2 linked regions of the Mus musculus genome follow. The protein of the gene in region 2 interacts with the protein of the main gene of each other region in a biochemical or structural test. Links are inferred from orthologs where the notes say so. Each region holds a gene or a part of one and is shown on either strand. Other genes may lie near its edges.

The links.
Region 1: the proteins of Ahr (region 2) and Nr2f1 form a complex in vitro, tested with the Homo sapiens proteins (2 studies listed by BioGRID). The link is inferred for Mus musculus from reciprocal best matches to the Homo sapiens genes AHR and NR2F1.

The regions. Positions count from the first base shown.
Region 1 is NC_000079.6:78,187,843-78,204,682, reverse strand, and holds Nr2f1 (COUP transcription factor 1), read left to right. Parts: upstream 1-5,809; 5' UTR 5,810-6,109; coding exon 6,110-6,563; exon of another isoform or gene 6,564-7,479; intron 7,480-8,233; exon of another isoform or gene 8,234-8,328; coding exon of another isoform or gene 8,329-8,341; intron 8,342-8,515; exon of another isoform or gene 8,516-8,581; intron 8,582-8,993; coding exon 8,994-9,521; intron 9,522-14,669; coding exon 14,670-14,950; 3' UTR 14,951-15,710; downstream 15,711-16,840. UniProt on the Homo sapiens protein: Coup (chicken ovalbumin upstream promoter) transcription factor binds to the ovalbumin promoter and, in conjunction with another protein (S300-II) stimulates initiation of transcription. Binds to both direct repeats and palindromes of the 5'-AGGTCA-3' motif.
Region 2 is NC_000078.6:35,495,439-35,511,341, forward strand, and holds the end of Ahr (aryl hydrocarbon receptor), read right to left. Parts: intron 15,733-15,903; coding exon 15,621-15,732; intron 14,659-15,620; coding exon 14,528-14,658; intron 12,895-14,527; coding exon 12,692-12,894; intron 12,092-12,691; coding exon 11,982-12,091; intron 10,949-11,981; coding exon 10,807-10,948; intron 9,539-10,806; coding exon 8,275-9,538; intron 5,263-8,274; coding exon 5,251-5,262; 3' UTR 2,541-5,250; downstream 1-2,540. UniProt on the Homo sapiens protein: Ligand-activated transcription factor that enables cells to adapt to changing conditions by sensing compounds from the environment, diet, microbiome and cellular metabolism, and which plays important roles in development, immunity and cancer.

The sequences.
Region 1 (16,840 bases), on a different chromosome or scaffold from region 2:
AAGGCTCCTGGAGAAGTCAGAGCACCATGCCCCTGCTCTCTGCCTGCACTAACAAGACTCATACAGTGCTAAGGTTAGGGCCACAGTCTGGTCCAGTTGCCACTTTCAAACTCAATTTAACTTTCCCAGGGCTCTGACTGGTGCGAGGCAAACAGAGTGGATAGGGAGAAGGGAAGAAATTCAGAAAAGAAAACAGAAGAGGAAAGGGTGAAAATTGCAACTGCTTTTCCTAGTCCAGCAGCTGAGCGTGTGTGGGAATTCAGTTTGAGATCTCTGGTGCCCTTGGAAAAATTCGAGCATTTTCTCTTAGATGAACTACCTATCCAACAACAGATATTAGGACCAGTGACGAGTATAGCTGGTGACAAACCACAGCTTTAAGAAACAAAGCCAAAGCTCCACAAGACTTGAGCTGACCTCTGGATCTCTAGGGAAGCCATTTTGGTAGAGGCAGGACTGTGAACACATGTGGGTGTGCAATTGCTCTGAGCAACACAGAATCCCAGGAGATAGAGTCCTAAGTAGACCGAGTCCCATGGGTGGGTAAGGCCCTCTTCAAAAAGTCTCTGCTTCATGCTATCCCCATCACAAGAGACTGGGACACTTGACTCAAAAGTGCACAACCAATTCCCCTTTCGGAAAGCCTGAGGCTTCCCCTGCTGTGTGCAGCACCAACAAACAGCATCCCATCCCTGCTCCTAGAGCTAAGACTGAGAATTGCAATCTCTTTTCAGAGGAGCCGGCTGCTTCGCCCAAGGCCTGGAGAGGCAGACTTCTTCACTCTAGGGGTCAATCTAAGTCCCAGAGGCCTTTTTGCAAGTTTGGAAGCTTGGGGCGGGGTAGGAACCCAGGAAGGAGAAGCCACAGTGAGGATGTGTGGACGCCATCTCTCCCGCTGAGTCTCGGCTGGCCCAGCAGCTTTGTTGCGGGACTTGACCCCCGACTAGCCCTTCCAGGCAGGGCTGACTCATTCAAGAGCCCACCCAGCCCCCGGGCGCGGTCCCGCGTGTCCGTTCCCCACCCCCACCCGTTCCTAGCGAGCCCGCCCTGCGCGCCCTCTGACGCAAACGCGCGCCCCTGCCAGGCGCAGGGAAGGTGGGGGGTGGGGTGGGTGAGCGTTCCTGTTGGTTTTAATTGAAGCTCTTCCTTTCACACACACAACCTCGGTTCCCACTCCTGGGAGGCGACCCCCTCCCCGCCCCCAGCCCGCCTAGCCCAGCGAGTAGAATCTAGCTCTACTCTACCTCACAGCTCTGCACGGCCACCGAGGTTCTGTGCTTTGGAGAACCGCTGTCCCCTTTAATCCGCTGACACTATCGCCCACATCAAACGGGCAGCCATCGATTGCCTTATTTTATTCGGGGCGACCTCAGGCTGGCGACTGAGCGCGACTCGCGAAGTCCTGTCTGCGGCGCGGCTAGGCACAGGTGCCGAGGCCGGCGGGCTCCACGGCTTCTCCATCTCTGCAAGCTGCAGGCTGGCCGCGCGGAAGCTAAACTTGATGCAATCTCGGGTCCCCTGCCCACGTAGCGTTTCCCGCTCCGGGTGGGAGAGGTTAGTGAGAGGACCTGTTTTGGGTTTGGACTGATGGGCTGGCAAGGATCCTCTCCTCCAAGGAGGCGTACCTTCCAGGCCCGGACGAAAGTTCTCCGGGTCCTACCTGGGCTGCCTTGACTGTTTATCTAGGCTGGCGAGGACGAGTAACGATTGCCTTTCTACCTAGCCACGTTATCGAAGATTACAGACCCCAAGTTTCAAAACACACACACACACACACACACACACACACACACACACACACACGATTATCTTTGCGTTACTTGCCTGGTACGGCAGGGCTTGGCCGAGTCTCACTTCTGGTGCCCACCGTGTACAGCCCAGAGTCCGAGGGAGACTAGGCATGCAGACCCCGCACCCAGCAGGCCTCCGGTTCCCGGACGCTTGCTTTTTGCTTCCTCTCCCACTGTTTTGTGACTCTTCCCTCCCCCAGCCTCCCTTTCTCTGCTGCGTTCCGCTGCTCACTACTCCCTGTCTCTGATTGTTTGGGGAGTAAAATTTAGAATTTCTATATAAACAGCGCGCACACGCTCTCTCTCTCCTCTTTCCTTCCTTCCTTCCTTCCTTCCTTCCTTCCTTCCTCCCTCCCTCCCTCCCTCCCTCCCCCCTCCCTTCCTTCCCTCCTTTTTTTTATCATATCAATTTCACCTTTAAACGAACCGGAAGACTTGATCACGAATATTAGGGCTGAGAGGCTAAGGCCAGGAGCCCCTGCCACCCCATGTCCCGCCTCTCCATCATCTGCGTACAATGGGCCGCAGCACGCAGAATGCAGTCTCCATTATTCCAAATAGAAGGGCATACATAAGAAAGTCTTTATTCTGCTCTTTAAAAAAAATATATATCACTGGCCACTAAGTGGTAGATCCCAGAGACCAAAAAGCGCAAAGCGTGCCCCAAACACTCAGCGCTTTCTAAAGCCCTCACTAGTGAGATTTAAAGTGGGAACCAGTATTAATAGCCAAACCCTACCTCTTTCCATACAACTTGGCCATTTACTTCCACCTTTACCTTGGGGCGCTCGGAACGCTTGAGACAAACTTTTACGCTCTCCCTAGTTGAGGGCTGGTAAGAGGGACTCTCACTCCCACTCCCACTTCGGGTGGAGGCAGCCGTGGCTTTGTCACTCTGCCGCCCTGTGCCTGCCTGAGCCTGCGGATGAGAGCGATCTTAAAACGAGGGGGGTTGCGAGTGTGGGATTGGAGAATATGTAACTAATAGAAGTATCGTTTTCCCCAGTACCATCTTTCAAGGAAAAAAAAATTCCATTGAAAGAATTTTCAAAGTGCTGTCTTGGTTTGGAGAAAAGGCACTGGTTGCCAATGAGGAGGGGAGGAGGGACTCGGCTGCGTGCCGCCTGAGAGCGGCTCCCGTCCGCTAGGTGGCAGGCCGACCTAGCGATTCCTGCAAGGCCCGCGGCGGGACCCGCTCCTCCTGCCTACCCCTCCTTTTGCGACCAATCACCTTCGGGAATGGGGTCTCAGTCACACACACCCCAACACACACACACACACACACACACACACACACACACACACCACCACCACCACCACCACCACCACCACCACCACCACCACCACCACCACCACCACACAGCGAGTGAGAGACTCAGTCTCTTCCTCCTCCTCCTCCTCCTCCTCCTCTCCCCCTCCCCCTCCCCCTCCGTTTCCCACTTCTCGTCCCCTCCCCTCCTCCCCTCTCCCTCTTCCCCGTCTTCTCGTTCGTTCGTTTGCTCTTTTCCTGTGACTGACTTGTCCGCACTAACAGCCGCCCCACAACAATATGAGGAGTTACAAATGCTTTATTAATAATCATTGAAGCATTGTTTGGAGTTTGAGCATCCTGGGAATAAAAATGATGAAAAAGGAAAAAGAGGATTGATTGGAAAGTTTATTTTAAGATCATCTTTGGGATGAATAGGAATCATCGATTCGGATCGAATTTGTGGCAGTAGCTGCAGTTTCATGTGTGTGCTTTGTCGTAATTACGCCTCCGAAACTATGATATACTTCAGATTTTTAAATGAGGAGGCTTTTCATAATTATATAAAATGAGCGGGATACAGACTAAGATTATATTGAATGTGAACTAAGATTCTAAACCAAGTAGACTTCACAAATCATTAAAATGATGGAGTTTTTTTCCTCATTAATTTTTTTCTTAACGTTTTCAGTGCCACTCCTTACGCTCATAAAACCTAATTCTGAAAAGTTTTCATAAGATATACAGTAATTTCTTTCTCCTCGTTTTTTCCCATCACAACGCGTTCTCCCCTCATCATCCCTTTCCCCTCGTGTGTGTGTGTGTGTGTGTGTGTGTGTGTGTGTGTGTGTGACCATACACGACCCATACTAATCAGGTCTCAGAGTAAATAGCAGCGCAGGGCGATCTCAATGTAAATTATGCTTGTCAGAAGCACCCCCCCCCTCACTTTCTCTTCTCCTCCCCTCGACATCCCAGACTGTAGGTAGCTGGGGGGAGGGGAAAAGGACTTTCCAACCAATGGCGTGAAGGAGGCTTGGCTAACCTTAGCCTCCCATTTTCTCTCCCCCCCCCCACCCCCCATTCAGGGCTCTGACCAGTCAGTCGCCTTTGATTATCAGTTGCCAGCAGCCCTTCTCTTGGCTCCTTGACACGAGCTCCATATAAGGCAGAGATCTCCATAGAAACGTGTCAGTTTCAATAGTAGTGTCAAAGTTCACTATATACAGACATTCGCGCAGATCCCCCTTTCGGAAACATTGCTCTGAGTGTCCTCCCGTTTAAACGCATTCAATTTTTTGGTCCCTCTCCTCTCCTCTCCTCTCCTCTCCTCTCCTCTCCTCTCCTCTCCTCTCCTCTCCTCTCCTCTCCTCTCCTCTCCTCTCCTCTCGCCCCTCTCTCCCTCCTCTCCTTTCTCTCACCCACTCTCCTCTTGCCCTATCTCTCCCCCTTTCTTTTCCTTACATATTCTACTAGTTGTCGCCCTTCCTCTTTCTCTCCCTCCTTTTCTCTTTCACTCCTTTCCTCTAGAAGAGAGAAGACTAAACTTGAAAAAAAAAGGAGGAGGAGGCACCCCTCAGTATTCTTCTTATCGTTATTATATATATATATGTATGTATATATATATATATATATATGATTTTTTTTGGAGGGAGGGTGTTGGTTCCCAGCTGAAGAGCACTTATTTAAAATACTAAAAAAAGAACATTTTTGGGCGATCTCCAGGGTTTTTTAACTAGCTCTGTGTGTTATAGCAGAAGAAGCAGAAGAAGCAAGAAAGAGGAAAAGAAGAGGATTATTTATTCGACCTACTTTGGATGTCTCTCTCGCTTTCTCTTTTTCCTTATTTTCTCAAGCATTTTCTTCTGATTTTTATTTTTTTCCTATTTCGCTGTGAATTCGTCGCTGGCGTGAATTATCTCGTATTTTTCTCCCCCTTCCGTCACCTCCCGAAAGAAGAAGGCAGAGAGAACCCGGCGCCACCCGCACAACAAAAAGAGCAAAGTGTGTGATCTTCCTCGCCGGCTGCCTCCCGCTCTCCAGCGCTGCCTTCCTGAATGGCTGGCTGCGTCCGGCCCTGGACCTGGCCCCCAGACACCCGAGCGCCCTGATCCTCGCCGGCAGCTTCGTCCCGATCCTGCTCGACTCTCCCAGCTCCCCGCACTCTTGAAACCGGGCGAGGGCTCCCGCCAGGACAGCGGCGGCGGCACGGGCAGCACCGGCCTCGGCTCGCTCTCGGGCTGCGGCCCCGACTCCGGCTCGGACTCCCGCCCGGGCCCGGGCTCCTCCAGCGGAGCACGCAGCGGCGGCCAGCTCCTCCAGCAGCGTCTGCAGCCGCGACCTCCTCCTCCGCGGCCGCCGCCGCCCTCGCCGCTTCCTCTATGTCGGCTCAGCCCGCGCTCTGCGCGTAGCCCCAGCGGCCAGCGGCCAGCGGGCGGGCGGGCGGGCGGGCGGGCGCCCGGCGCGGGTGAGCGAGTGTGTGTGCGAGTGTGTGTGTGCGCGGGGGTGCGGGCGAGGCGGAGGGCGAGAGTGTGCGCGCGCCGTGGCCCATGCCCGCCGCCCCCGGCGCTGCGCCCCGCGCCGCTCCCGGCTGCCGCCTGTGCCATTTCTGATTTTGCAAGTTGGGGAAGAAGAAAAAAGCGAGAGAAGGGAGCTCGCTCGCTGGGGGGTGGGGAGGGGGGAGAGAGAGAGAGGCCCCCCCAGGAACGGAGTGCGGGGGGAGCGGGCGAGGGGAGCAGGGGTGTTGGGGGGGGGGAGCCTGAGAGCCTGGGGGGGCTGCAAAAAGAGAGAAAGAAAACAGCAGGAACCACAACAAAACGCCAGCAGGGCGGGCGGGCGCGCAGCAGCAGCGGGGCGGCTGAGGCAGTAACGGCGGCGGCGGCGGCGGCGGCGCAGGCAGAGGCCGGTGCCCGGCTCGGGCTCGGCTCCGGCGACCCCGGGGCGCCCGGTGGGCCCCCCGCCCCCTCCCCCTCCCCCCTTCCCCTTCCCCTTCCCCTCCCAGCGCGCCCGCGCGCCCCGCGGCCCTCGGCGAGCAGCTCGGCTCCCCCCAGCGCTCCCTGGGCCCAAAGATATGGCAATGGTAGTTAGCAGCTGGCGAGATCCGCAGGACGACGTGGCCGGGGGCAACCCCGGCGGCCCCAACCCCGCAGCGCAGGCAGCCCGCGGCGGCGGCGGCGGCGAGCAGCAGCAGGCGGGCTCCGGCGCGCCGCACACGCCGCAGACCCCGGGCCAGCCCGGAGCGCCCGCCACCCCCGGCACGGCAGGGGACAAGGGCCAGGGCCCGCCCGGTTCAGGCCAGAGCCAGCAGCACATCGAGTGCGTGGTGTGCGGGGACAAGTCGAGCGGCAAGCACTACGGCCAATTCACCTGCGAGGGCTGCAAAAGTTTCTTCAAGAGGAGCGTCCGCAGGAACTTAACTTACACATGCCGTGCCAACAGGAACTGTCCCATCGACCAGCACCACCGCAACCAGTGCCAATACTGCCGCCTCAAGAAGTGCCTCAAAGTGGGCATGAGGCGGGAAGGTGAATATTTCTTCTCTGCTTCTCTCCCTGCGCTTCGCCCGCCTCCCTGCTCTTTCTTTCTCTCTCGCCTTGGTGCCTGTGGCTGTGGGGATGGGGCTTCTGTGGTCCCAGCCGGTCCGGGCTTCCCAGTCTTCGCTGCTTTCCTCCCCCAGCGTCCCCCCCCCCCCAGCTCGCTGCCGCTGCCTCCCCCTCCCGCCCTGCGCTCCTCTCCCCGGCTCCTCCACCCCGCCCGCTGCCTGCTCAAGATTGTGTCCCTGGGATCGTGAGCTGTAGCTTAAAAATCCCTCCCTTCCTCTGTTGGATGTGCTCCGTGTGTGTCTCGTTCCCGCTTGTGTGTGAGGATGCTTGGGGCTGTGCTAGCATGAACTTGGGAGGGGTGATGATTTTCTGCAGAAAACCGTTTCTCTCCGTGTGTGTTTTTGTTTTTTGGTTTTTTTTGTTTTTCCCATTCTACTTTCTCCTCTGCCTCATCGTACCTTTTATTTATAATGGGAGAGGACTGGGGCTGGAGGACCCTGAACCATAGATTCATTGCTGCCACCATCCTTTAGGAAGCTTAGCTTGGAAAAAGAGGAGTGAGATTTATTGCACTTGTAGGTCTAATTAGGGGGGAAGGGGGGCTTCTGGCCTGTTCACTGGCTCCCTCTCCTCTTCAGGGATCTGGGGCCGCCTCCTCCCGAGCTGTGGCCTTGTTTTCACCCCTATACTTTGAAAGGAAAGTTTGTGACTGAACCCTGCTTTCATAGTAGTGTCATTTTTAAAGCTTGATACTCGTTTTATTTCTTCATCAAACTCCACCCTCTGCTTAAATACTGCATACAAATTACAATTTACAACGGCATTTACCGATCCTTCTGATCTGGCTATAATGCACAGACTGCAGCTGGCTTGAGCTTCTGCATCATTTAATCGATGTGTGAGATTTTTTTTTTATTAAGCACAACTTTTGATGTTTAATTTGGATATGCTTCATATTCATGTGGCATGAGATGGAACACTTTTCTTACAAATATATTTAGCGGTTTATAGTTAAAGTTTATCTCCTGGCAATCATTAAACATATCTTATAGTCAAATTAGTGAACCAGTCAATTTCGAAGAACATAGATTACTTCTTCTTGTAATTGACTTCAAAATTATATTTTATATGCCACAAGAAAAGAAATTGAATTCCTTCAGATCTCAAGGAGAAGGCAAATATGACGACTCCATTGCTAGCTCCAGGGAGATTGTTTAGGCATCTGAAAAAAAAAAAAACAAAAAACAAAAAAAAACAAAAAAACTTTGAATTGTGCTCTCATTTAATTGAAAAATAACTGCCAAGTTCAAAACTATAATTAGAAAAAGTATTCTAACCATTGTGTTTCAAAGAGCGTAAACCGCACTGAAACTCTTGTTGGAATTAGAACCAAAGAAAATGATGTAGAGCCTGAGGTAGGACAGCTCTGTGGACATGGACCTCGCTCTACTAATTTGTTGGGGGATGGCAGTTCAGTAGCCCTAACTTTCCCTAGAGTTGTCTTTGTTTACATGGCAATTGAAAATGCTGGCACTGTTGAAGTAAAACATACACATTTAAAAAAAAAAAAAAAAAACTTTGGTCAGCTTTAAGAACTCAATGCATGCTTACGTTTTGCATTCAGATGGGTAATGAATCCAGTGTTTTTGCAGTTGCAAGCTCGCGCATTCACTGGGCAAAGCTGGCTGCAGGTTGCAGTGGCATCGCACAGGACAGACATTAATTGTAGTTCCTACTTTTTTTCAATATGTTTGGCTACTGTAAGTTCAACTTCTTTGAAATTTTTTAATTTTCTGTTTCTTTTAATAGTGAGAAATTTGTATGGGGCAGTCTGGAGGAGGGAAGATGGGAGGAGGTGTGTGTTATGCTTGCTGGTAGTCCAACTCAGTAAGATATATATATATAACTTGTATCTTTTAAAAATTATTCTGTAGCACTTTAGAGATTATGGGAACATTTTATACACTTGCTGCTTGTTTACAAGTGAAGAGTACTCTAAGGTTTGTGGCTTTCTCAGGTTTCATTTTTAAAAGAGAAACTTTGATTTGTATCATTCTGAAAGGATTTCATTTATATCTGTGTTGCTTCTTAGTAGCTGGGAGGTTGGGTGGTACTTTCTTAGCCATCCTGAGCTAGGGGCCTTGCAGTCAGGCCTAGTTCTTCTTCTCTAGCTAAAATAGCCAGGGATGCAGACTATGGATGGACACACGGAGCCGGTGAAGGTAGATGACTTCACCCTAGATCTCCTAGCAGTGTGATCTGTGAGTAAGACCCAGCAAGCAGGAGAAGATGCTTCGGGAGCGAGTGACTGCAGGAAAGAACCACAGTGCGTTGGGTGCGCGCTGCGGCTCGGCGATGTTCACAAGCCCCCCTGGATGCACATTGCCTCTTTTCTCTCTTTCTTTTTATCAGCGGTTCAGCGAGGAAGAATGCCTCCAACCCAGCCCAATCCAGGCCAGTATGCACTCACAAACGGGGATCCTCTCAATGGCCACTGCTACCTGTCTGGCTACATTTCTCTGCTGCTGCGCGCAGAGCCCTACCCCACGTCGCGTTATGGCAGCCAGTGCATGCAGCCCAACAACATCATGGGCATCGAGAACATCTGCGAGCTGGCAGCCCGCCTCCTCTTCAGCGCCGTCGAGTGGGCCCGCAACATCCCGTTCTTCCCGGATCTGCAGATCACGGACCAGGTGTCTCTGCTGCGCCTCACCTGGAGCGAGCTGTTCGTGCTCAACGCGGCCCAGTGCTCCATGCCCCTGCACGTGGCGCCGCTGCTGGCCGCAGCCGGCCTGCACGCCTCGCCCATGTCCGCGGACCGCGTCGTGGCCTTCATGGACCACATCCGCATCTTTCAGGAACAGGTGGAGAAGCTCAAGGCGCTGCACGTCGACTCTGCCGAGTACAGCTGCCTCAAAGCCATCGTGCTATTCACGTCAGGTGAGGATGCGGTCGCGAGGAGGGCAGACTGTGCGGGGAGCTGGTGGGCATGGCGAGGCGAGTCCCTGGCATCCTGCAGCTCCCGCACCGCCGCTGTCGCTGTGAGGCCGGGCGCTCAAGCCACCTTGGGCCTGCCCAGGGTCTGCAGCCCGGGTATGTGGTTGTCGCCGACCGCGCCGCTGCCATCTTGGGAGCGTAGTGGTGCTTGGAGCGGAGGAAGCTCAGTGAGGCCAGCGGCCTGGCCTGATGGATGGCCTGGACCCAGCGCGCCCCGAGAGTGAGGCGACTGTGTGTCTAGGGAGGCAGGGCATTGTGGATCGTCTAGCTTCTGTGTGTGAACTCTCTGTGTGCGTGTGCGTGTGCGTGTGCGTGTGTGTGTGTGTGTGTGTGTGCGCGCGCGCGTGTGAGTGTGTGTGTGTGTGTGTGTGTGTGTGTGTGTGTACAAGAGCTCGGTGTTTCTGTGGGAGGAACGATACAGAAGGAAGAAGAGAACGTGGGAAGGTGGCTTCCTAGTCTGTGTGGCACACTCCTTGGATGAGTTTCCCGACAGAGAGACACAGACAGAGGCGGAAAGGGAAGAATACGCACAAATAAATCATAAATAATCTCGCTTTATTGCTGCTTGATTTTCCCTTATCGGAAACCATTCATGTTTGCAGTTGCTGAGGTTATTGAGGGTCATAAAAAACGGATTCGATCTAAACAAGAAAGATAAAAAACAAAAGCAATACTGTAAAACCCGCAAGCATGAGAGCACTCCGGGCCGGGAGATAAATTTCATAGCTATGCAAACACACAAACACTAGAAATTTAAAAGGATGCCTTAAAATATCAAATTAAGTGTAGGCGGTGGTAGCATGCATGTTAACAATCTCTCTTATGATAGATGGTTCAAATTAACTTCCAGGAAAGTGCATTAACGTTGCCTTTGAAGGGCTCTGGTCTAAGCCTGTGAGAACACTATCCGCTTTTTATTATTGGAACCTACAAGAGGGAACTATATACACACTAGGGACAGCAGGTAACAAGGAAATACAAACAAAGCCAGAAAGAACTCTGCTTGGGCAGAGCTGCTTAGATGGATCTTGGGCTTTGCTCACTATAAGCAAGGTTAGTTGCAATTTTACCACCGTTATTGACACTATTGTTTTTAATTCCTAGATTAGGAGAACAAATAAACCATTCTAATAAATCTATCCTAGTCAGGCCCTCCAAAAGCCAAATTAAAACCATTCATGAGTGGAGATGGCAAAACTCTTTTTCCCAAGGCCTTGTTAAAACAGGAAGCAGTGGGATAATCTATCAAGATTTTTCGACTTCCATGCATGGAGAGTCATATTTACATTGTATTAAAATGACACTAAAATTTGCACAATATTGTAATGTAGCAAATGTAGTATTAATATCGATCTGAGCAGCAGATAATTTATTTAGATAAGAGCAGCTCATTTGTATGCAAGGTGGCTAGAGCCTTGGACTTGCCCCCTCCCCTTTTACTTTCAGTGCAAATGCAGGTCTGCTTGTGAGAGAGAGAGTCATTCTTTGCAAGGGTTTTAAGTGCAAAACTTAAAACAAATGGAAGATTTATTGAATAGCTTCCTCCGACTTTGAATGCATTTTATCTTAACAAGTCTTCTTGATGGAAATGTGTTTTTCAAAAGTGACAAAGAGCCTGGGAAGCAGTGAGCAGGGTCCTTTGACTCTGGCAGGCCCAGGCCTGGCTGGTGCACTCCTACCCATCGTTTAGCCAAATCCACCAGGAAGGGAGCCAGTGTGGAGAAGCTAGGGTTGTAAAATCCCACCCAGTGAAGTATCTTAAAGCAGAAGTGTGTGCCGGGGAATTGTACAGAGGTTTTCTCAGCAAAGGTCTCCCTTCTCTTTTCCTTATGCGCCTAAAGTTCTCCAAATACCCTTTACTTTGCTGGTCTTGTGCCATTTCCCAGAGAAAGAGAGTGGGGGAAGGCAGGCCTAGGATTGTGTGGGCTGCAGGGAACATTGTGGAATTATGCACCTTCACTTTTAAACTTTCCATCCTAAAACATTCCTGTGAAAAGTCCCTTCACTTAAAAAAAAAAAAAGTTTTCCAAAGGAGTTTTTTTGAACCAAGTCTCCAAGGTGCAAGGGATGCTGAGACATGAATAGTAACATTATTTTGTTGGAAAATCGCAGACAGAATATCTGAAAATGGAAATAAACCTATCAGTAGTAATTCACCCCCCTTCACCCACCCCCTTCCATACAGCACATTTCCACTTTTGACTAAACTTGTTTTGATTGCTAGCCAGAAGGGACTTCATTGGAAGAAGAGAATTCACGGGAAGCCTTCCCTACGCCATCCAACTTTTAAGAAAACTTTGAATGATGGAAAAGACAGTTTTAGACATATTGTCCAATATGGCTTGCTCTGGCTAAGTATTTGAAGCTGGCATGAGCATCCCCCGTGGTGGTTTTCACATTTGGCCTCCGGATGGTGTGTTTAATCCTTAATATTCTGGACATCATCCAAAGACTAGGTCATGACCTGAACTTACTTTGAAAAAAAATTCTTTAATTCATACACCTAAATATCCCTTCAAATAAATGAGACTGGCTCTGAAAAGAACCATCTAGTTAACATAAATACAATAAATCCATTTTCTGCACAAGAATAACTTTGATTTCTAGTTATGGCAGCTGATTACATCTATATTTCCTGAACACTAAACTCTTCTGAATGCACAACATGAAATATATTCTCTGCTCTACAAAGGCTAAACCGGGAGGGCCTGAGCAGTAATGGTTATTTATTTACATAATTTCTTCTCCTTATACTGTAGAAGAAATATTAAAGGTTCTCACATTGACAATACCATATAAAAAGTGAGACATGGGTTTTCTATGTTCTGTCTCCTTTTCTTATCTGGAGTATAATCCATGGGGGCAAATATGTACTAAATTACACCCTTTGCTCACCTCTCTTTACCATCACAACCCACCAATTGATTCAAACACTCATTCTGTCTGTCTACAGATGGGAGAATCCTGCTACTGGGGGGGAATGATTAAGTAGTGTGTGGAGGTGGGCCTGAACTAGGACTCACAATGATAAAGGCCATGGGCATAGGTGACTGGGATGATAAAGACCACCAGGGATAGGTGACTGGTACTTGAAGGGGCAGCCTCAGTCTCAGGCATTCCATTTCAAAGGTAGAAGGGCCTGAAAGCAGCCAGTGTAGGGCCAAAGTGTACCTGTCTAGACTTCTCTTTGGAGTTGTTTAAAGAATGAGGAAGTGACTTACTCCAGGGGTCCTGATGTTTTACTGATTTAAGAAGATGTCATATAGATATTTAAGGGAACATCTCATGTTGTCTTTCTCATATTGTGTTGTGTGTGGCTAAGACTATCCCCTTGGTGTGAGGGACAGAAAATGTATGCAGTGCAAGATATATGTAAATACATCACACACAAGTCTGTGTGATGGCCATTCAGCAAGTTTAGGCTAGAAAATGGGTCCAAGGGCTGACCTAAGAGTCCCCTATCTATGTACTAATGCCTCAAAGATGTGCTCCTGTCCTGGTCTTGCTGGCCATAATAATCCCTGGCATCCCAACTCAGACCAGTGTGGATGCACTGCACCAGCTGGATGCAGTAATTAGACATCTGAGAGGAACCCAGTCTGGACCTGGGGTCAAAGGAGACTTGCCTCTGAAGTTCTTGAATTATATCACCAGTTTTATTTAAATATTTGCTTAAGGCCATACCCTTGTAGATGAAGGTGGCAGAGTGCTTTGTGAAGCCTAGTTCTTGGACTGATACACAAAATGGAAACAGCAGACATAGATTTCGCTTTGAATAATTTGTTGTTTTCTTAGGGTCACACTTCCCCATTATACAATGTTCTGTTACAGGTGTTGTCATACATAAATTCCTTCCCAGATGTATATATTAGCAAGCGCTGTCTTTGATCTCTAGCCAACCTCCTGACTGGCTAAGGGTTCCTCTGTGATCTTCCTGTTTTTAAAATACATCTTACTTGTATTAAGAAGTAACATAGGAAATGAGGGAGAAGGGCCACTGTTTCTCTGATTCCACGCTCCTCTCCCTTTGCTTGGCCCTGGTTAGTGGATATAGGATAATCTGCTGTCTTGAAGTATTTTTAGATGACCCAAAAGAACTTTGGTTGGTTTGAAATAACCACAAAGGTTTTCAGTTGCCATTATTGTATAAAGTGCCTTGTGTGCTTCTCCCTTGGCCCCTGCTGTAGGAATCCTGTCTCCCCACCACCACATGCCTCCCAATTCCCTACACCCCAGTTCTGAGACAGAAGCCTCAGCTGCCTAGCTTTGTGTCTGATTGCTGAAGATGTTCCCTTCTGCAGCCTGGAGTAACTGAGCCATATTCCTCCTGGTTATTATACAGCTTACAGAGATGTGACCAATTTTCAATTACATGATCTAAGAAAGATAGAAGTGTCCACTCTCACCGAGGAGGATTTGTTGCAGGGCTCTGTCCTGCATATATAGTTGATCTCCAATTCTATATTGGTATAGCACAGGCTTGATCTGGTTCTCGGTTCTGCCAGCTTGTGATCCCCGATCCCCTGCCACGTGTATTCACTACACAATCTAGGTTCTCCTTGAGCTTGCTGGTTGGGGTCAGCTGGGTTGGGGGTTGGCGGGGGTGGGGGGAGACTCGAAGAAGCCTTTAAAAACTGTTTCCAAGGCTGTATATTTCTTCAGGGGTTCCAAGCACCCCAAAATCAAGCAGGAAAGGGGCAAATGCTTTCCTTTTAATGAGCACAACCAGAAATGTGCTCCCCTGAAGGAGAGAACAGGTCGCAGTACACAGCAAACATGGATTCACCATCATGCATTATTTAATCCAAAGGTGAAAGAGGGGAAACAAAGCTATGGCCAGGTTGCACCTCTGTGCATGTGCACCTCTCTCCTGGTCTCCCAAGCATGGTGAGGCTTGGATTTATTGTTATTTGTGTAGGGGGTGGGAAAGAGGATGGCAAAGAGGCATGGAGGGAAGGAGTTATTTTCCTTTTCTTCTATTTCTTTTTCCTTTTCCCCTCAAAATATTAATGGTGTGTATGCCTTTCCATCTCACTCACCTAACAATCTGTCCCCTTTCCCTGTCTCTCCCTCCTGTGGCTGCTCTGGCAGATGCTTGTGGCCTGTCGGATGCTGCCCACATCGAAAGCCTGCAGGAGAAATCACAGTGTGCCCTGGAGGAGTATGTGAGAAGCCAGTACCCCAACCAGCCCAGCCGCTTTGGCAAACTGCTGCTGCGATTGCCCTCTCTTCGCACAGTGTCCTCCTCTGTCATCGAGCAACTCTTCTTCGTACGTTTGGTAGGTAAAACTCCCATCGAAACTCTCATCCGAGATATGTTGCTGTCAGGGAGCAGTTTCAACTGGCCTTACATGTCCATCCAGTGTTCCTAGACTTTGGGTGTTTCCCACCCAATCCTGCTCCCTGACTCCCTAGAGACTAAGAGGACTCTCCCTGACCAAGGACTAAAAAGCCTTTGGGGATGCTGGTATGATGGACCAGGCAGGCCAGGCAGACGGGAGGAGGGCTGGGAACAAGAGCAGCCCACTCTGCAGGAATGCAACCTGAGCTGCAAACCAGGAGAAAAGGAGACTCATTTAGGATCTGATCTGTAAGTACATTGGAAAGGAAAGAAAAAGGACCTCGTGTCTGGTGAGAAAATGAAAAAAAAAAAAAAAAAAAGAACGATTTGGAAGAGAGGACCATGAGAAATTTAATAAAATAGATGGACCTTCCAGGATTTATTGTGGATGGATGTGGATATATTCTGTACAGAAAACTACTCATATGGAAGTGGACTGAATCCTATGTAGAAACATACACTGAACATTGTTATTCATTTTGTAAAATACTAGTGTTTATTTTCATTTTTTGTAAAATTTAAACATCGTATGCGCATAAACAAAAATGAACAAGAATTAGGGGGAAATAACATTTTCCAAATAATTATAAAAAATTTGTCCTGTGTCTATGTATCTATATCTGTTTTGTATTTTTTCTGGTTCCAAACCAGATTTCCTGTGATTCTATACTAATAATTTTTGATATAACCCTTTGCTTCTTATAATGAGTGCGATATATGTTGTCGAGGCTGTTCTTCAAGAATTAAAATTGAAGTGAAAATTTAAACAAAAATAAAAGAATTTAGCAAAACCCATGTGTCTGGTTGCTTGAACTACACCCTCAGAGCAAGAGGAGCTCCTGGATAATTTGTGGATAACTGAGTATTGTTAGGATCTGAATTGTTGAGAGGTAGAGGAGACTTTTAAGGTCCAGTACTAAGTCGGCTGTACCTTTTTCTTAGGCCACTACATCACTTTTGCAAAGCTGAAGGCAAGGCCAGGCTGTGTATGTGATGGGATAGGAGGGGAAGGCTGGGCCTTGGTGGCCAGACAGGAGTTTTGTTTTGTTTTTTTTTGTTTGTTTGTTTGTTTGTTTTTTAATTCTTTCTGAGGACAGCCCTGAGTCAGGGGCCAGGGGAAGCCAAATTGCTTTTGAGGCACAATTTCCAGGCACATGGGCGTCACAGCTTCAGTGACCCAGTGTCAGGTCACCTAGACTCTAACTGCAGTGGGAAAGTTTCTGAGCTGGAAGGGGTTTGCAAAGGTTTCATGGCAGGCTTTTGTGGGTGGGGTGGAGTTTTGAGGGCTCCTCAAAGCGTTTGAGTCTGGGTGGACTGGACGGCCACTGACTGTCTGCTCCAAGTCTTGCTTCTCCCTGCCTCTGGGCAAACCGAGACAAAGCACCGTGGATTCTGACTTTGTTTCTCTTATGCATTCTTGGAGATCTACCCACCTGTGGTTGGTTTGCCTTTCTCTCAGGCTCTTGTCAAGGGGGTTCCCAGTAGGACCTCTCCTGTGTGTGTGGGGGGGGGGTGTCAAAAGAAGCACCCCCCAACACACACTTTATGGTACTTACAAGCTGAACTCAGAAAGTAGGACTAGGTGTCAGGAAGCTAAGTTAGACTGGGTTCTTCCCTAAAGTGCCTTATGGCCCTAGGGGCCCTTGGAAGACAGATATCTCTCTTTGAGGAATCTAGCTGGGCATGCATTGAGGTGAGGGGCGAGCGACAGATTTCAGAGTCTGAATGTTTTATGGAATCTGAGCCGGAGCTGTGAAAACACACACTGCCAAGGGAGCTCTTCCTTAACATATTGATAAAGCCGTATCTTTAAAATTAAAACCCCTCTTACACACGGATCCCCCAACCCCTAGTCCCAGACAGGTTTAGATGAGGGAAGAGTTCACTTTTAGAAGCCACCCATAACCTTGCCCTTTCACTT
Region 2 (15,903 bases):
AAAGTAGACTCTCTTTTTCTTGGTCCAGAGGGACTTAAAGGTGGGAGGAGCCATAGGAATGGTGCCAAGCCCTCCTGGCTGTTCTCTGAGCTGCAGCCTGGGAGAATGCTCAGAACAACACTTCGTATAGAAAGATGTGCAAACGGAGATCTTTCCACTCCAGAAGCATCATTCCTTAAAATCTAAACATTTGTGCTGATTTCTAATGGCTACAATAATGAATTACTGCATTAATTGGCATAGGACAATACAAGTATCTCATATATATATTTTTTTAAAGTATAGAATAGAGTTTATTTAGGGCATGGGGAGGGGAGCTAAGAGGGTAGTAGAGGCAGAAAAAGTCAGAGAGAGAGGGAGAATAGAGAAATAGAGGCCAGCAATGGGCACATGGAGAGTTGGGGGAGGGGAGGGGGAGATGGGCAAGAGGACAGACAGGGAGCAGGAAGGCAAGAGCCCAAATATCTTCTTAATAGAACTAGAGCAGAAATTCTCAACCTTCCTCATGCTGTAGTCCTTTAACCTAGTTCCTCATGCTGTGGTGTCCCCCAACCAGATTTTCATTACTACTTCATGACTGTATTTTTATTGTTATGAATTCATAATGTAAGCATTTAATATGCAAGATATGACTTCCTTGAAAGGGTTGTCCTTCAACCCTCAAAGGGGTCACAATCCACAGGTTGAAAACCCTAAACTAGAGGATGCTTGCTACTCTGGAATCAAGACATCGGAAGACATTACTTCCTTCCCTTTTCTAGCTTCTTGGCCCTTCTTGCATTATCACCATAGTGTCTTCAAATCCTTCTGCTGTCCTCCGTTCTGTTCTCCCTCCCTTCTGACTCTCCAACCTTCCTCTTGCAAGAACTTTTTGATGATTGCACTGAGCCTCCCCAGTAATCCAGGGCAGCCCCTGTGTCAGCCTTCTCTTAAGAGAGAAGGAATAAGCTGTGGTTTCCATGATTTTCGTCCATGGTTTCTTGGCCATGTTACTGCCCAGCACATTTTGAAGGAACTAAGGTAAAAGAGTTTTGCTCACTTTACTGGACTCAGGAAATACAGAAAAAGAGGGGAAGGGTTTGGTCTCAAAATCTCTTCTCAGGATACACCCTTGGTGTCCAGTATCCTCCCATGGTATACTATTATTTAAAGGCTCCATCCCCTCTCAATAGATCATAAGCTAGTGGCCAAGCCTCCAACAAGAGATATAGAGGACATTTTCGATCCAATCTATAGCATCTTGTCATTTCTAGGTCCTGGACTGTACAGTAACATCTACAGAATGTCCCTTGCCACCAAATTAACATACACATGGGTTCTTAAAAAATACAAACTATTCTGTGTATAACCATTTGAAGATTTCAGTTGCTTTTTAAAAATATAGTTTAGTCCTTTATAAAAATGGAATAATTAAATTGACCTCATGGGATGTAAATGAGATAAACTAAATGATGCATCAGGTGGAATGGGAAGATAGAGCAATGCACTTGTGCAGGGACAGTCAGCTGCTCTGCCCTGTATCAGTCAGTGTACTTTGTTCCCTCCAGATCACCTAAACAAACGATGTGAGGTCACTTTAAATCTTTGGTCTCAGTTTCTTCATCTCTAAGTGTGTAATTTTTTATGAATCGTTTTTCCATCTTTATGTGCTGTTATTTGGAAGTCACGTATCTTACACTCAAAGAGGTGATGAAGGGCACTCATAGTGAGCTCAACCTTGAGGGTATTCCTCACAAAGGCAAGAGCTGTAGAATGGATGAGCGTATAAAGAACCAAAACCAGAACCAAGATTTAACAAGATTGGAGATGAAAAGAGGGTGCGAGTGGAGGCTGCAGAGCTGAAAGGGCTGAGGAGACGGTGTGAGGGGATAAGTATCTTTAACTGTGAAGTACAAAGAAGATGGGTGTTTACCTCAAGGTCTTGAAACCTCTCCTCCTATATACTCCAGGAAAGGTGAAGTCTAGGAATGGTAGTATTGAAGAGATGAAGGTACAGAGAAGCACTGGGAAGTTGGAAGCAAGATCATCTGCAGAGTGTTAAGACAGAAATCATAACTACCAGCCACTTCCTTGGAGTAGCCAACACCCTTGCGTTAGCAGTCTTGGTACGATGTGGTAAACTGGAATCATTTGTAATTAAGGAAGCCATTGGACTGAGTGTGCACAGAGATCAGAATGAATACATGATTGTAGTCATGTATTCAGTGATATACAGTAAGAGATGTGATGTAGACTGTTCTGATGTGCACATATCACATCACAAGAGTGAACATCAGTGGTGTGGTACACTGTACAACTTTACTGTCTTGTGTGGCTGCCAACATAATCACACTAGTGGCTGGGGACTACAGATCACTTGTCAGCTTGAGTTTGCTCAGATCAAATAGCTCAAACAGAGAATTTAAGTAACCCTTTCATGAAAGACTTGGTGTATTGGTCTTTCTATAAAGACTACTTTTGCCTAACCATCATATAATGGTACAGGGCTCTGTTTTCTCTATAGAGACAGAAAGAAAAACTTGCATGAAAACACTATTTATATTTGGTGGTTAGTTTATTATCATATATCACTGTTTACATTTCCTTTGATATTTAAGGACATTATAAATCATACTTTAACAAAAATCTATGCATGGCATATGTAAGCAAGTAACAGTTTAAAGGACAGCAAGGAGCTATGTAGACCTAAGATCTATTGATACTCAAACTAGCTTGTGCATAGTAACAATTGAAAAGTTGATACACTGGCATATTGGTTAAGTGTTCAGGTGCTGTAAGAAACACCTAGAAAAGAAGAACTTCAATCAGACATACACAAGAGTCTTAGAATTTCATCTAGAAGTTAATCCCTCAGTCTAGTGGTGCTCTAAGTGGTCTTTCCATTTGGCACTTGGCAATACAGACAAACAAATAGGCAGTTTAATGTGATTTTATTATTCTTAGATGTTTTAGCTATTTTTATATAGATAAGAACACACAATATTGTTTTTAAGACTTTCAGTTTGATAAGTGTGTAATTAAATGCCACCATACTCTCAGTGTCCAAAGTTGTCTTCTTTTTTTTAACTGAATATTTGGTAACATGCAGAAGAGACTGACAAAATGGTTTCTATGACAACTTTTAATGAAAAGTTTACATAGAAAAGTGGGATACTAATTCAGACCACCAGTCTAAATCCTTGGTGACACCTCATGCTGGAAAAAAATTGTGAAATGTTTTAGACAGTTGTTTTTCAATGCTTAATCCTAGAGATTCAGAATTTTGACTGAAAATGCATAGAAGAGATCTTTTTCCCAAAGGCATGTTTACATACATTAATTTTCTAAAAGAAAAAAAGAAGAGTCAACATTTCAGTGGATCTCAACCTTTCTAATGCTGTGACCCTTGAATACAGTTGCTCAGGACCCCAACCATAAAATTATTTTCATTGCTACTTTAAAACTGTAATTTCCCTACTGTTATAAATTGTGATGCAAATATCTGTGTTTTCCAATGGTCTTAGGGGACCCCTGTGAAAGGGTCAGTCTATCTCCCACGGGAGCCACAGAGCACAGGTTGAGAACCACTTCTGGATTTGAATACATCTCAGTTTGGGATCTCATCAGCTTTTTATATAACATATGAAAAACAGATCCAGGACCACATCCTTCATATATCATATCTAAGCAAGAACAGAGACAATGGCAGACACCAGCATTTTTTCTTTAAGCCGTTTGAGAACAGTGCATTTGGCAGAGTGACACATTTGCCATATTGGCAGCAAAGGGTGTATCACATAAACAACTTAAGGTATGGAGGTGAACAAATTGTATTTATCTTTATCTTAATGCCAACGTAAAAGCTTCAATTTACTACTTGATTTCTTTACAAGATACACTGAAAAAATGCATATGAGGTAAGAACTATTCTTAAATGAAAACTGCGAATATTTTACAGATTATTTTGTTCGTTATGTTTATACAATGCACCATTCATTTCAGTCATTAAAACACCTTGCACCTGACATGGCATCTTCCATCTTAACACTCCTCAAATATGAGAAAAATGAATAGCTTCCACTAGTATAAGAAGTGGAATTTATAAAGTCAATATCACAAACAGGATTACAGACAGTTTTTCAAAGATAATTTAGACAGAGTGAAATGAGTGCTCTGCTTAATATAGCTAACAGGCTTGACACACGCCACCTCCCCTCACTGCAGCGTAGTGGACATAGGCACCTTTAGCACTTTCTACGGTGGCCTTCTGATCTCATCGTGGAGGTTTCTGGGAAACCTTCAGCAGCAGCGTTATCTCACGTCTCAGAAAACACGGTTAAAATACAAGTGCTACTCTCTAATAGTATGTAATAATTAAATAATTTGGGCAACATGTTATTTTTCAAATTTTTCAACATAAGGCACAGAGGAACATCTAACGGCCAGAAGCAGGTATATTACACAATAAATAGTGGACTTTGAGTTATCAATTACTCTTTATCTGAAGGAAAGGATGAGTAGTGCACACACACAGCGGGGTCATAGAAAGGTTGGGATTCGGGAAACTTTCTTTGTGCAGAAAGAATATTAATTCAAAAAAGATAAAAAATATTTCATATAAAATACATACCCTATTGTGTTACAGGTAGATAGAAAAAAAGAAAAAAATCAGAAAACAACAACAACAACAACAAAAAGTGAGGCACTTATATTAACAGTGCAGAAAGAAAGCATTGAGATTTTCTTTTGAGAAAAGCACCAAACCATTTACTTTAACTTCTGGGACAAAAACAGAGGTTAAAAAATATAGGAAATCGGTTAGTCCTGTAACTCCGTATTTGGTATACTAACAAGAATCCAGAAGTTCAAAGCTCCAAATACCTCCCTGTTTTTCCTGCTGAAGTTACTGAGCAGGGAACCCGAGAATTTTTCACAGTAAACACTGTGCACTCTGAGGTGCCTGAACTCCTCCCATGTGCTCCGTCCGAGCTCTCCCATCGTATAGGGAGCATCTCAGGTACGGGTTTTAAACTCCTTCTCTAAACACAAGAATCGAAATCTGTTTTGGAGAAAGTGTACTGATGTCCAACCCTCACAGTTCTGGTATCCTGTTCCTGAATGAATTTCATCCTGGCATGGGAGCTACAGGAATCCACCGGGTGTGATATCGGGAAGAGGCCGGGCTTCCGCCAGGTGATGGAGATGGCCAGTGGTCTGAGCAGCGTGGCCAATGCTGCTCAAGTCGGACGAATAGGTTTCATTGAAAACACCTCAACTCTGCACCTGAGAACAAACACAGCACAGCAGCTTGTTAGGATCTGAGGAAGACCTTAAAAACGACTTTTAGTCTGTTAGACCTATGGGTTGTTTCACTTTACAGTCCTGTACTGATGATGCTCATGGCTAAGTCTTTCGTCATTCAAATCACACAGAGGAAACGCTCACACACTGACTTCTTTTGGAAGATCAGGTTTTCTCATTAGTCCTACAAGATAATTTAAAGATGGTACAGCGAACGCTACAACTATCTCACTTCGTCTGCCTTGGGGCCTGATGGGAAATTATGTGACATGGGGTGTCAAAGGGTTATTCAGTCCTGCCACAACCAATCAAAAACCTGGAGGCAGTGAACTGATTCTATCCGAACTTCTACACAGCATTTCAGACACCAGCACTTTTGCCCAGATCTGGATTTTAAATGTTTCTTGCTATTCTTGCAATGTTACACTACAGGTATGATCTTAATCCAATTTATTTGTAAAATGTGTTTAATAAATTGTTCTGCAAGTTACCAAATAAAAAAGATGCTTGGTTAGCTAGTTGCATCAGAGAGGAATTTCTCAATTGAGAAAAGATCAAACTGTAGCCCCAGCACGGGCTGAAGGCTTTTTTTAAAAACAAACAAACAAAACCAATTTTTTAAAGAGAATGGTTATTTCAAAGAGATTGAACTTTTAATGTGCTCACATTTGTAAAGACTGTGGGACTTTTAAAGTCATTTATGTTTTATATTGTGGTAGTAATATTAATGTGCTATCTTGGGGATAAATGCGAAAGGAAAGGTTCTGTCTGAAAAATGTTTTGTGTCAGGTTGACAAGGAGTCAGTTGTTTGGCTAGTTTTATGTCAACTTGACTCGGCTAAGGTCACTGAGGGGAGACAGCCTCAATTGAGAAAATGCCTCCACTAATCTGGCTGTAGGCAGGCAAGCCTGTAGGGCATTTTCTTAATTAGTGATTGATGTAGGCTCAGCCTATTGTGTGGCTCTATAAGAAAGCAGGCTGAGCAAGCAATAGAAGGCAATCCAGTAGAAAGTACTCTGCCATGGCCTCTGCATGAGCTTCTGCCTCCAGGTTCCTGCCCTGCTTGAGGTCCTGACCCTACTGCTTTTGATGATGACCTGTTATGTGGAGCTGTGAGTGATTTAAACTCTTTCTTCTCAGACAGCTTTTGGTCACGCTGTTTCCTCACACCCTAACTAAGACACCTGCCTTCTTACCAGTCTCATATCCAGAACTGCTAAAACAGTGAAGAACGAATATAACAGTTATAGTCTACAGAAACTTCACATTGTGGTGTAGTTGATGAAATAAACTGAGATTAAAATAAAAATCATAAAATTATCCCTTTAGTTGCCTCAAATTACTCACTTCTTGTGTAGTGCTGGAGGTCCAGTGAAGGGCCTTGTGCATGCTAACCCGGCTCGACCACTGAGCTAGCTATACTCTTGACCTTTTGTTCTGTGTCTCACCATTTTCCAGACTGTCTTCAAATTCACTCTACAGCCCCAACACCAGGCATGAGAAAAACCCTTTTGAGTTGCTGCTCAGGGTTGTCCTACAGGTAATATACAGACTGTGCAGGTTGTATTTAAATATTTAGGAACACACACACACACAGAGCAATGAAAGAAAAGAGGCCAAGAAACTGAAAGAGAGCAAACATGGTAGATGGGAAAGGTTGTAGAAAAAAAAGGGAAACAGAAAAGGAATACAATTATGGTTCATTTCAAAAATAATAAATTAAGAATAAAATATTATGTGTATAGTTGTTTTGCCTGCATGATGTATGTTTGTATGTATACACACACACACACACACACACACACACACACACACACACACACGTGCATGTGCAACACAAGTATGCAGTGCTCAAGGGTGCAGAGAGAGCACTGGGTGCCTGGAAGTGGAAACTGTGGACTGTTCTGAGCTCCCATGTGGGTGCTGGGGATCAAGAAGGGTAAGCAAATGTTAATTGCCAAGCCATCTCTCCAGGCTAGAAATGTTGTTATTTTTTTCACTGCCGCACAATTACTCATATGAACAGGTTACAATGTGACATTTCAATTCATCTATATAGTGTGTAAGCAAATCAGGCAATTATCTTTCACTGTGAACACTCATCTGTTATTTGCATGAAGAACCTTTGATTTCCTTTTTTTCTAGTGATTTTGAATCATGCAATGAACTGTTGTGAACTTCTGTCATCCTGCTATGTTGTAGAAGAGCCGAAGTTACTCCCACTATCTGTCTGTTACTACCCAATAGCCAGCCCCACTCTGCGGCCATTTCCAGCATCTGAGGGATCAGCCTTGGAGGTTTGCACACATGGATGCTCTCTATATTCTATAATGTCCTTCAGACACACCGCTTTGAGGCAAATACTAATATTCTATTCTTTTATGAGTAAATTATATCCAAAGTATGGTTAATCCATTTTCTTTATAATAACTATTAAAAATTTTTAGGAAATCTTTTTCCTAAAAATTTTCAGGAAAAAGATTGACCAAAACTATCATCTTCATTCTCCATTCAAAAAAAAAAAAGTCCCATACAATCAGACACAGCAGATTCACTCACAATCTAAAAAGCAACCAGGACTGTGATTTAAGCCACACTTTTAAATGGCTATACTCAAACAGCTCATGAATAGTTACTTAATAAACTTCATGTTAGTCAAGATATTCTTACAATCTAAACCAGTATATCTTCAAATAAGCTAATATTTGTAAAGAGAAATTTATTAATATAAGCATGATATCCTCCTGAGGGGGTAACAAAGAACAGTTATTAAATTATCTAAACATCAACTTGCTTTTAAGAAAATTATTTAAAATAATTTATTATTCATACTATTTTAAGTAAACTATAATGAAGTTAATTACGTGACCATAAATATAACGAAAGCAGTTCCGAAGTTGCTTGCTATCTAAAATGGGTTATGATGATATGTTTAAGTGTAATACAGAGATGCTTAGGCCTACAAGGTTTTTTCAGCTGTCGAAAGCCCTTACCTTGCTTAGGAATGCCTGAGAACCTGGAATTTCAGAGCTGTACTGCGTCTGGTCCACAGGGGTGCGCTGTGGCCCTGGCTGGCACTGATACATGGACATGGCCCCAGCATAGTATGCCTGAGGACTGACCATGGCGGACTGTGAGTTTATCCCATGACTTTGGTTTTCAGGAACTTGTAAACAACTGACAAAATCTAAATTAGAAGTAGTGGGATGCAGGGACGGTTCAAAATCCCTTCCAGGGAAGTCCAACTGCACACTCTTGGAATGTTCTGGAAGCAGAGGCTGATTACAGGGAGCAAAGTTCTGTGTGTAAGGCACACTGTCCACCTCTGGTTTGTAGGGAAATTCCTGAGCAGTCCCCTGTAAGCTGGAAAAGAGCTGATAGTGCTTTAGTTCCTGCTGGGGACAGTTGAAAGACACGGGAGGGGTGGGGTTCCAACTTGCAAACGTGCCGTTGATTTGCGTGTGCTTCGGACCCAGATCTTGCTGGGGGCACACCATCTGACACAGCTGCTGCTGGGGCTCCAGAGCCTGCGGCGGGGGCTGCTGAAGCTGTTGCTGTTGCTCTAGTTGCAGGCGCTCCTGCAGCATACAGCTTAGGTGCTGAGTCACAGGCTGCTGCTGGCAAGCCGAGTTCAGCAAAGTTGAATTGTTCAGGGAATCCTGCACGTAGGTCAGGATTTCGTCCGTTATGTCGATGTCTTTGAAGTCAACCTCACCAGCAGCGGTGGAGTCAGTTCTGAAGAACTCCTCGTTCTGCATGCTTCTGATATCTTCAAAATCAATCCCAAGGTTCCTCATGATGCTGTACAAGTCATTATTTTTATTATCCGGAAAGAGCTCTGAGGGGCCGCCAGAGAGTGCAAGGTTCACGTCCTGAGCATGGCCAATTTGCTCATGTTTCAGCGCAGCCTCACTTCCTGCGGCCGCAAAGCTGTCTTGCCAACTCCCGCACTTGCTCACGGAGCCCATGAGAAAATGGCTGTCTAACAGCGCAGGGCTTGAAGGAGGACACAGATAGATGGACTCATCCTGCTGGATGAGGGCACTCATAAGAGAACTGGGGTGGAAAGAATCCTTACTTGGGGTTGACTGGGGAGCCCAGTCTTTCCTGCTAGTGTTGCTTTTGGTGCGTATTGGTAGGGGATCCATTATGGGAGAGAAAGGGCTGGAGATCTCGTACAACACAGCCTCTCCGGTAGCAAACATGAAGGGCAGCGACGTACTTCGCTTCTGTAAATGCTCTCGTCCTTCTTCATCCCTAACAGGGTAGGCAAGAAGGTCTGAATACATTAGAGTTTGATCATACATGATTTAAGTAAGATATTTCTAAAAGGAAGAAAAGGTAAAACGCACTAAAGCTGAGCTTGATAGCAAGGAACATGGATTTTATTTTGAACTAAATTATTCTCATGACTAGTGTTATGCAAGTGGAGTGAAAACTATATAGGAAAAACATATAAATACCAAAATAGAAATATACCTAAATAAAATAATAACTAGGAGACATAAATGGAATACAAAAGAAATGGACAACAGCAAATCAATAAATGAAATGTCTACGCCTGGAAGACACTGGTGACATCAGAGGTCTGTCAGCTGTAACAATCAATGGTTTTATGAAGCATACATCCCCTATGGGTAATATAAACATTCACTATGGTTATGGGTTAATGACTCAGTTCTGTGCAAATGTTAATTCTTTCTTGAAAGAGTTATGTCTTCAAAATCCCAACAGTGTTTTTTGTTGTTGTTGTTGTTGGGGATTTAGTCTTTAATAAATGAGTTTTAAAGTACATTTGGAAACATAAAGAGTAAAGAAGAGCCAAGACAATTATGAACGAGAACAAAATGTATCCAAAAACAACAACAAAAAAAGACATGTATTCACAATATAAAGATAGCACAATTAGGGCTGTGTGATGACCCATAAGGCAACAGCAGTGGACAGCCAGCAGCTCTAGAAATGGCAGTGACCGGCCAGCAGCTCTAGAAATGGCAGTGACCAGCCCATAGCTCTAGAAACAGGACCACATATAGAAGCCTGACAGGCAGTGCAGTGCTCAGACTCTGTCAAGGGTTTGTCTCCTTAACAAATTCTGTTGGCTAACTTGATAGTCAAAAGGAAGGAGAAAACCAGTCAGGATGCTTAGCTCTACCTAACTCCTAAAAAGCAATTAATATTTCACCAAAGATTCCTTTCTGGAATCTGTGAAAAGCTTCCAAATTGCTGTGAACCTACTGTAAACAAGTGCTATAGTTTTCCTTTTATTTTTGAGATGACATTGTCTTTCATCTCCTCAACTGCAGGATGAGTTGGGCATTTTTAGCTTCATCTACTTAGCTGCTTGATAAAGCTTATCACTTTTGTCTTTTTTTTTCAACATTTTTCATCTTTGTCCTGCTCTTTCTAGATAATTTTTCCATTTTTAGTTACAGGTTCCATTGCCTTAGGATTCTTTTTCAACTTTCATGTAAGAAGACTTATGAAAACACAAACGCAGGACATGTTCTTTTTCTGATGCTTACGTCAGTGGTCTCTGAGTGGCGATGATGTAATCTGGTCTTCCATTTCTGTAAATCAAGCGTGCATTGGACTGGACCCACCTCCAGCGACTGTGTTTTGCAAGAAGCCGGAAAACTGTCATGCCACTTTCTCCAGTCTTAATCACTACAAGTAAACATTTACAACAAGGTCACCAAACCCTCCATCAGTACAGTACAATACAGTACAGTACAGTACATCCCTGCAACCAAGTGCCGCTGTGGGGCTAAGGTGAGGCTCACTTGCTGGCTACAGGAACTTGATGCTCTTGCAAAAGACCTGAGTTTGTTTCCCAGTGGGCACACTGGGTGACTCACTACCTCCAGTAAACAAGTCCCAGGGAACCTGATGTCCTCTCCTGGCACCCAAGTTCACCTGTACTGGTGCTCGCAAACTCCCACACAGACAAATGTACATACACAATTAAAACATAAAAACAAATATCTTTTTAAAAGCCATCTTGACATATTTCCATATGAATTCCATTAACCACCAGCTGTGACAATATCTTGAAAACTTTTAAACACACTAAACACACTGAAAGGCACAGAAATGGTTCCTCGGAGTCTGTGCTTTTCCATTTTAGATAAGGCTTAATATGTAAAAGGTTAAGAGAAATACTGAGAGCATGTCAGGTGTAAGAAGAGGTTAGCTTGGAGGAGAAGTAAACATATTCATGTTAAATGAGGAATATTTTTAGTATTTCCCGATTTTATATTAACATATATGCATGGTGCCTTTAAAGACTTCCTGAGCAAAAATCCACTGGCCAACATAGTTACTTTCATAATAATCATATTGTAACCATTACTGCATAGCAGCTGTAGAGGAATTAGAAGTAAAAAGCAAAACTGGTTAACCAAGGCAGCATGACTCCAACGGGATGGATCCAAGTAGTTCTCAGATGATGTCATCACACACAACACTTTGAAATGTGTATCACAGTGCTGGGAGATGCCTCCGTGGCTATAGGTGCTTGCCACCAAGCCTGACTAACTGAGGTTGATCCTAGGGACGCACAAAGGCAAAGAGAATTCCCTCCTACAGGTTGGCTCCTGGCCCCCACATGCACACACAGGAATCAAAGGATTTTTAAAAAGCTTAATATGTTCTAATACATGTGCCGTATATCAGGCGGGTCACAAGAATTCCAACTCACTGCGGATGTGGGATTCTGCACAGTGAAGTATGTCTGCAGCATGGATGAACTGGTACCCCGATCCTCTTGTGCACAGCTCTACTTCTGTATAGCCCAGAATAAGCTGCCCTCTGTTCAAATAAAAGAATCAGATTGTAAAATAATCAAGAAACATTCACTGGTGGTATGCGATTTCCACAACATTCAAAATGTTCACATTAGTATATAGAAAACATCCTTTTAGTTTTTTTTTTAAATTTTCTTGCTTATGGCTACTAATTTTCAATTTTAGTCTTTTTTCTTAACTTTGAATAAGGCCATTAATATTAAGAAGGTCAAAAATGAATCTGGCATAGTTAACTTAAACGTAAAATGAATTCAAAAGCTAAAAACATGGCTGGCTCAGACTGTACTTTAGAGACAGGGTCTGTCATTTATTCTAAAAGGTGGGAAAATTAAAATGCTTTTATATAAATTCTTTTTAGTTAACTAATTAACTTTAGATGGTTATCTAATCTCTGAAGCTAAAAATTAAGAAATATTTTTACAAAATGTAAAATAAACCATGTGCAGTAAATAATACAAAACAGTCAGATTATTTGTCAAATTGATTAACTGACCCTATAGTAGTAACATTAGAACCTATACCACATCTCACACACTTACAAATCTGCTAAAATAAAAAAGATGCATTAATTCTTGAAGAATTATGAGTGAAAAAGTTCCCTTACTTGGCATCACAACCAATAGGTGTGAAGTCTAGCTTGTGTTTGGTCCTGAAGATGAAGTTTTTGGTTCGAATTTCCAGGATGGAGGGTGGCTGAAGTGGAGTAGCTATTGCAAACAAAGCCAGTTGTGGAGGAAGCAGCGCTCCGTCCTTCCCTTTCTTGTTCTGTCCATGAAGATACTTTAACCTCCCTTGGAAATTCATTGCCTTAAAAAAAATATGTCATTAAAATTAACATCATGTAATGGTTTCATTTTCAAAGGTTCCATCATGTACCTGGGGTAGGGGTGGTTATAAAAGAAAATTCCCAAGGCTCAGAACCACTAACTTAATTTCACTCCTCTCTATACAGAAAGTCTATTACAAATTTAAAGATAGAGTGGGGAAGTGGGCACTGCCAAGTGACCTACCCTGCCCCCAAGTCATGACAGGAGTGGCCTATCATTTCTGTGCCTAGGACCACATGACATTTCCACCTTCTACAACCCTTTGCACACCAAGCACTCAATACATAGCTTAAGAAAAAAGAGTGGTGATAAAGTCAAACTACATATTAATTTTCAAACATGTAGGATCTACATGCCATAGCTCACCGTAGTCTTTCCTACTGAGGAAAAAAATACCATTTTATTAAAACAGTAAAATGAAACTTATGAGGCCATTTAAAGAATGCAGAGATCAAAGAATGAGTTTAGAAGACAGAGACCAAAGAGAGTTTAGACATGGGTGTCATAAACTCAGCTGATCTACAAGTCTAAGAGACTATGTGACACACATCTGATATAGCACAAGACAGAAGAAGCCCAGCACACCCAGAAATCCCACCTAATCCCATTAACCAGTCTCAGGCGGTGGTACTGGGAATGCCATCTCAGATTACAACTCTAAATCCATATCAGCAAAAACAATTGTCAGAAATAATACACTAACAAAGTGCACTGATTCGTGAGGCTTAATGTAAGACCTAACTCCTCTCTGCCTGTGGCTGCAGTATCACAGTCACTCTCAGTATCTTGCTGGGGGCTTCCTGGTTACTTCTTACAGGACGACGCCTCCTATCAGATGCTAACTCTGGAGCCATAAATATAAGCATTTTATTCCAGGCATGCATACATCTATGCTTTTCCCATATGGAAAGCATACAACCCCCAAATGCTAGGCATCCTATTGGAAAGTGGCTAGCTAATTCTAAGTCTTAAAAATTCTTTCAAAACATCCAGTATACAGTATACATTCCATGTTATAGCAATTGCTACAAAGTCATCTGAAATGATAGGGTTCTCTGAGCTGCCAGAGACCTCAAAACCAAAATAAGAGAGAGAGAGAGAGAGACAGACAGACAGACAGACAGACAGAGTTGTATGTATGTTATATGTGAATTTATGTGGTATATGTAGCGTGTGTGTGTGAGTTTATGGGGTTTGTGTGTGTGAATATGAGTTTATGTGGTATATGTGGTGTGTGCTTATGTGTGTGGGTGTGGGTGTGATTCAATGTGGTGTATATGGGTGTGTGTGTGTTTATATGGTAAACATCGTGTGTATGTGTGTGTATGTGAGTATGTGCACACGCACATGTGTGTTTATGTGTGTGTATGTGTGTGCATAAGCACCCAGGCTTCTCCAGACTCCTCCTCTCATTCCGCCCTCACTGTACCATAGGTGCATATCACCACACCAGGCTTTTACAGGGGTTCCCAGGGTCAAAATCAGATGACCCCCATTCTTCAGGGAAAACACTGCACCACTTGAGTTAATTTACTGGTCCTAAAATATTAACTTTTTAAGGGCTGTTTCTTTTATTATATTACGTCATGATATTTTAAGATTATGCACCTTACCAGAAAACCAGATGAATTATCCAGCAGGCACCTCAGCCGGCACCTGAAGCACCTCTCCATGAAAGAAGCGTTCTCTGGAGGAAGCTGGTCTGGGGTATAATAGACTGCTGCCTGTGGAGGGCCATGGGCTTCTGTAGGAGGGAAAAGCACAGTCTACCTTACATCTGCTGTGAAATCAAGGGTGACAGTGGTGACAGACTTTAAACCTGTATTTTGAATTAAAAATACCATTTTGAAAATAATTGAAAAGCCCCAAACACATAAACACTTCTATGCTGTAGAACTTGCCTCCTTCTATATTGGTAATTCTGAGCTATTGCTGTTAACAATGTCTCTATCTCTAACAATGGCTTTGTTTTCTCACCGGCTTCACAGATATCTTAAAACAATGCACACATCAGGAAGACTGTCTTGATTCTTGCATGTGCTAGTGTATATTCTTATGGGGATATTTTAATAAGAATGATTTACACTCTTCAGTTGCAAGCCTGTATATTCCTCCCATCTTTCCCAATGGTACCAGTGTTGGTTTAAAAACAAAGAAACAAAGAAAGAAACAAAAGAAAACACAACAGTACTGCTTTGGGCTTGGGTCATAGCTCAATAGGTAATGTGCCATGCAAGTATGACACTGAGTTTGATCCTTAGAAACCTTGTCAAGAAAAGCCAAGCATGGAGATGCTTGCTTGGAATCCCAGCGCTGAGAGGGACAGTGGAATCCCTGGGCTCCCAGCAGCCTACCCTTCTTGGTGATCTCCTGGCCAGGGAAAACTCTTGTTTCAAAAAAACAAGGCGGAAGGTTTGCAAAAAATGACATCTGAGGTTGTGACCTCTGGCCTCCACACATGTAACCACAGGTGGGCACTAACACATAGTCACATTACTAACAATACAACCCTCTTTATGACATCCTCTATGGCTTGCATCTGCTACAGCTGCCTTGGCTCAACATCCTCTTGTGGTCTGGCTCTGATCTTCAGCTGCAGACTCCCACCCGCCTGACTTGTCCCCTATCTTCAGCATGGAGCTCTATGCCTTTCTTTCATAGAATATTCGGCAAGCATGAGCATCCTCTTCTGGTAAACTTCCTTACCGTCCACTCCTTGTGCAGAGTCTGGGTTTAGAGCCCAGTGAAGCTGGCGCTGGAATTCCGCCCGGTCTTCTGTATGGATGAGCTCATATACGCTCTGATGGATGACATCAGACTAGAGGAAAGGGGCATGAGGAAAAACTTATAGTGATTTGAAGAGTGATAAGGTTTCGTAAAGCAGTTTCAAAAGGTGTCTAGATCAGTGGGCACCTGTCGGCAATGATGAACTGAATGCAAATGATGGTTGCAAAGACCCCCTAACCATTCACATCAGCCATCGCCTCCT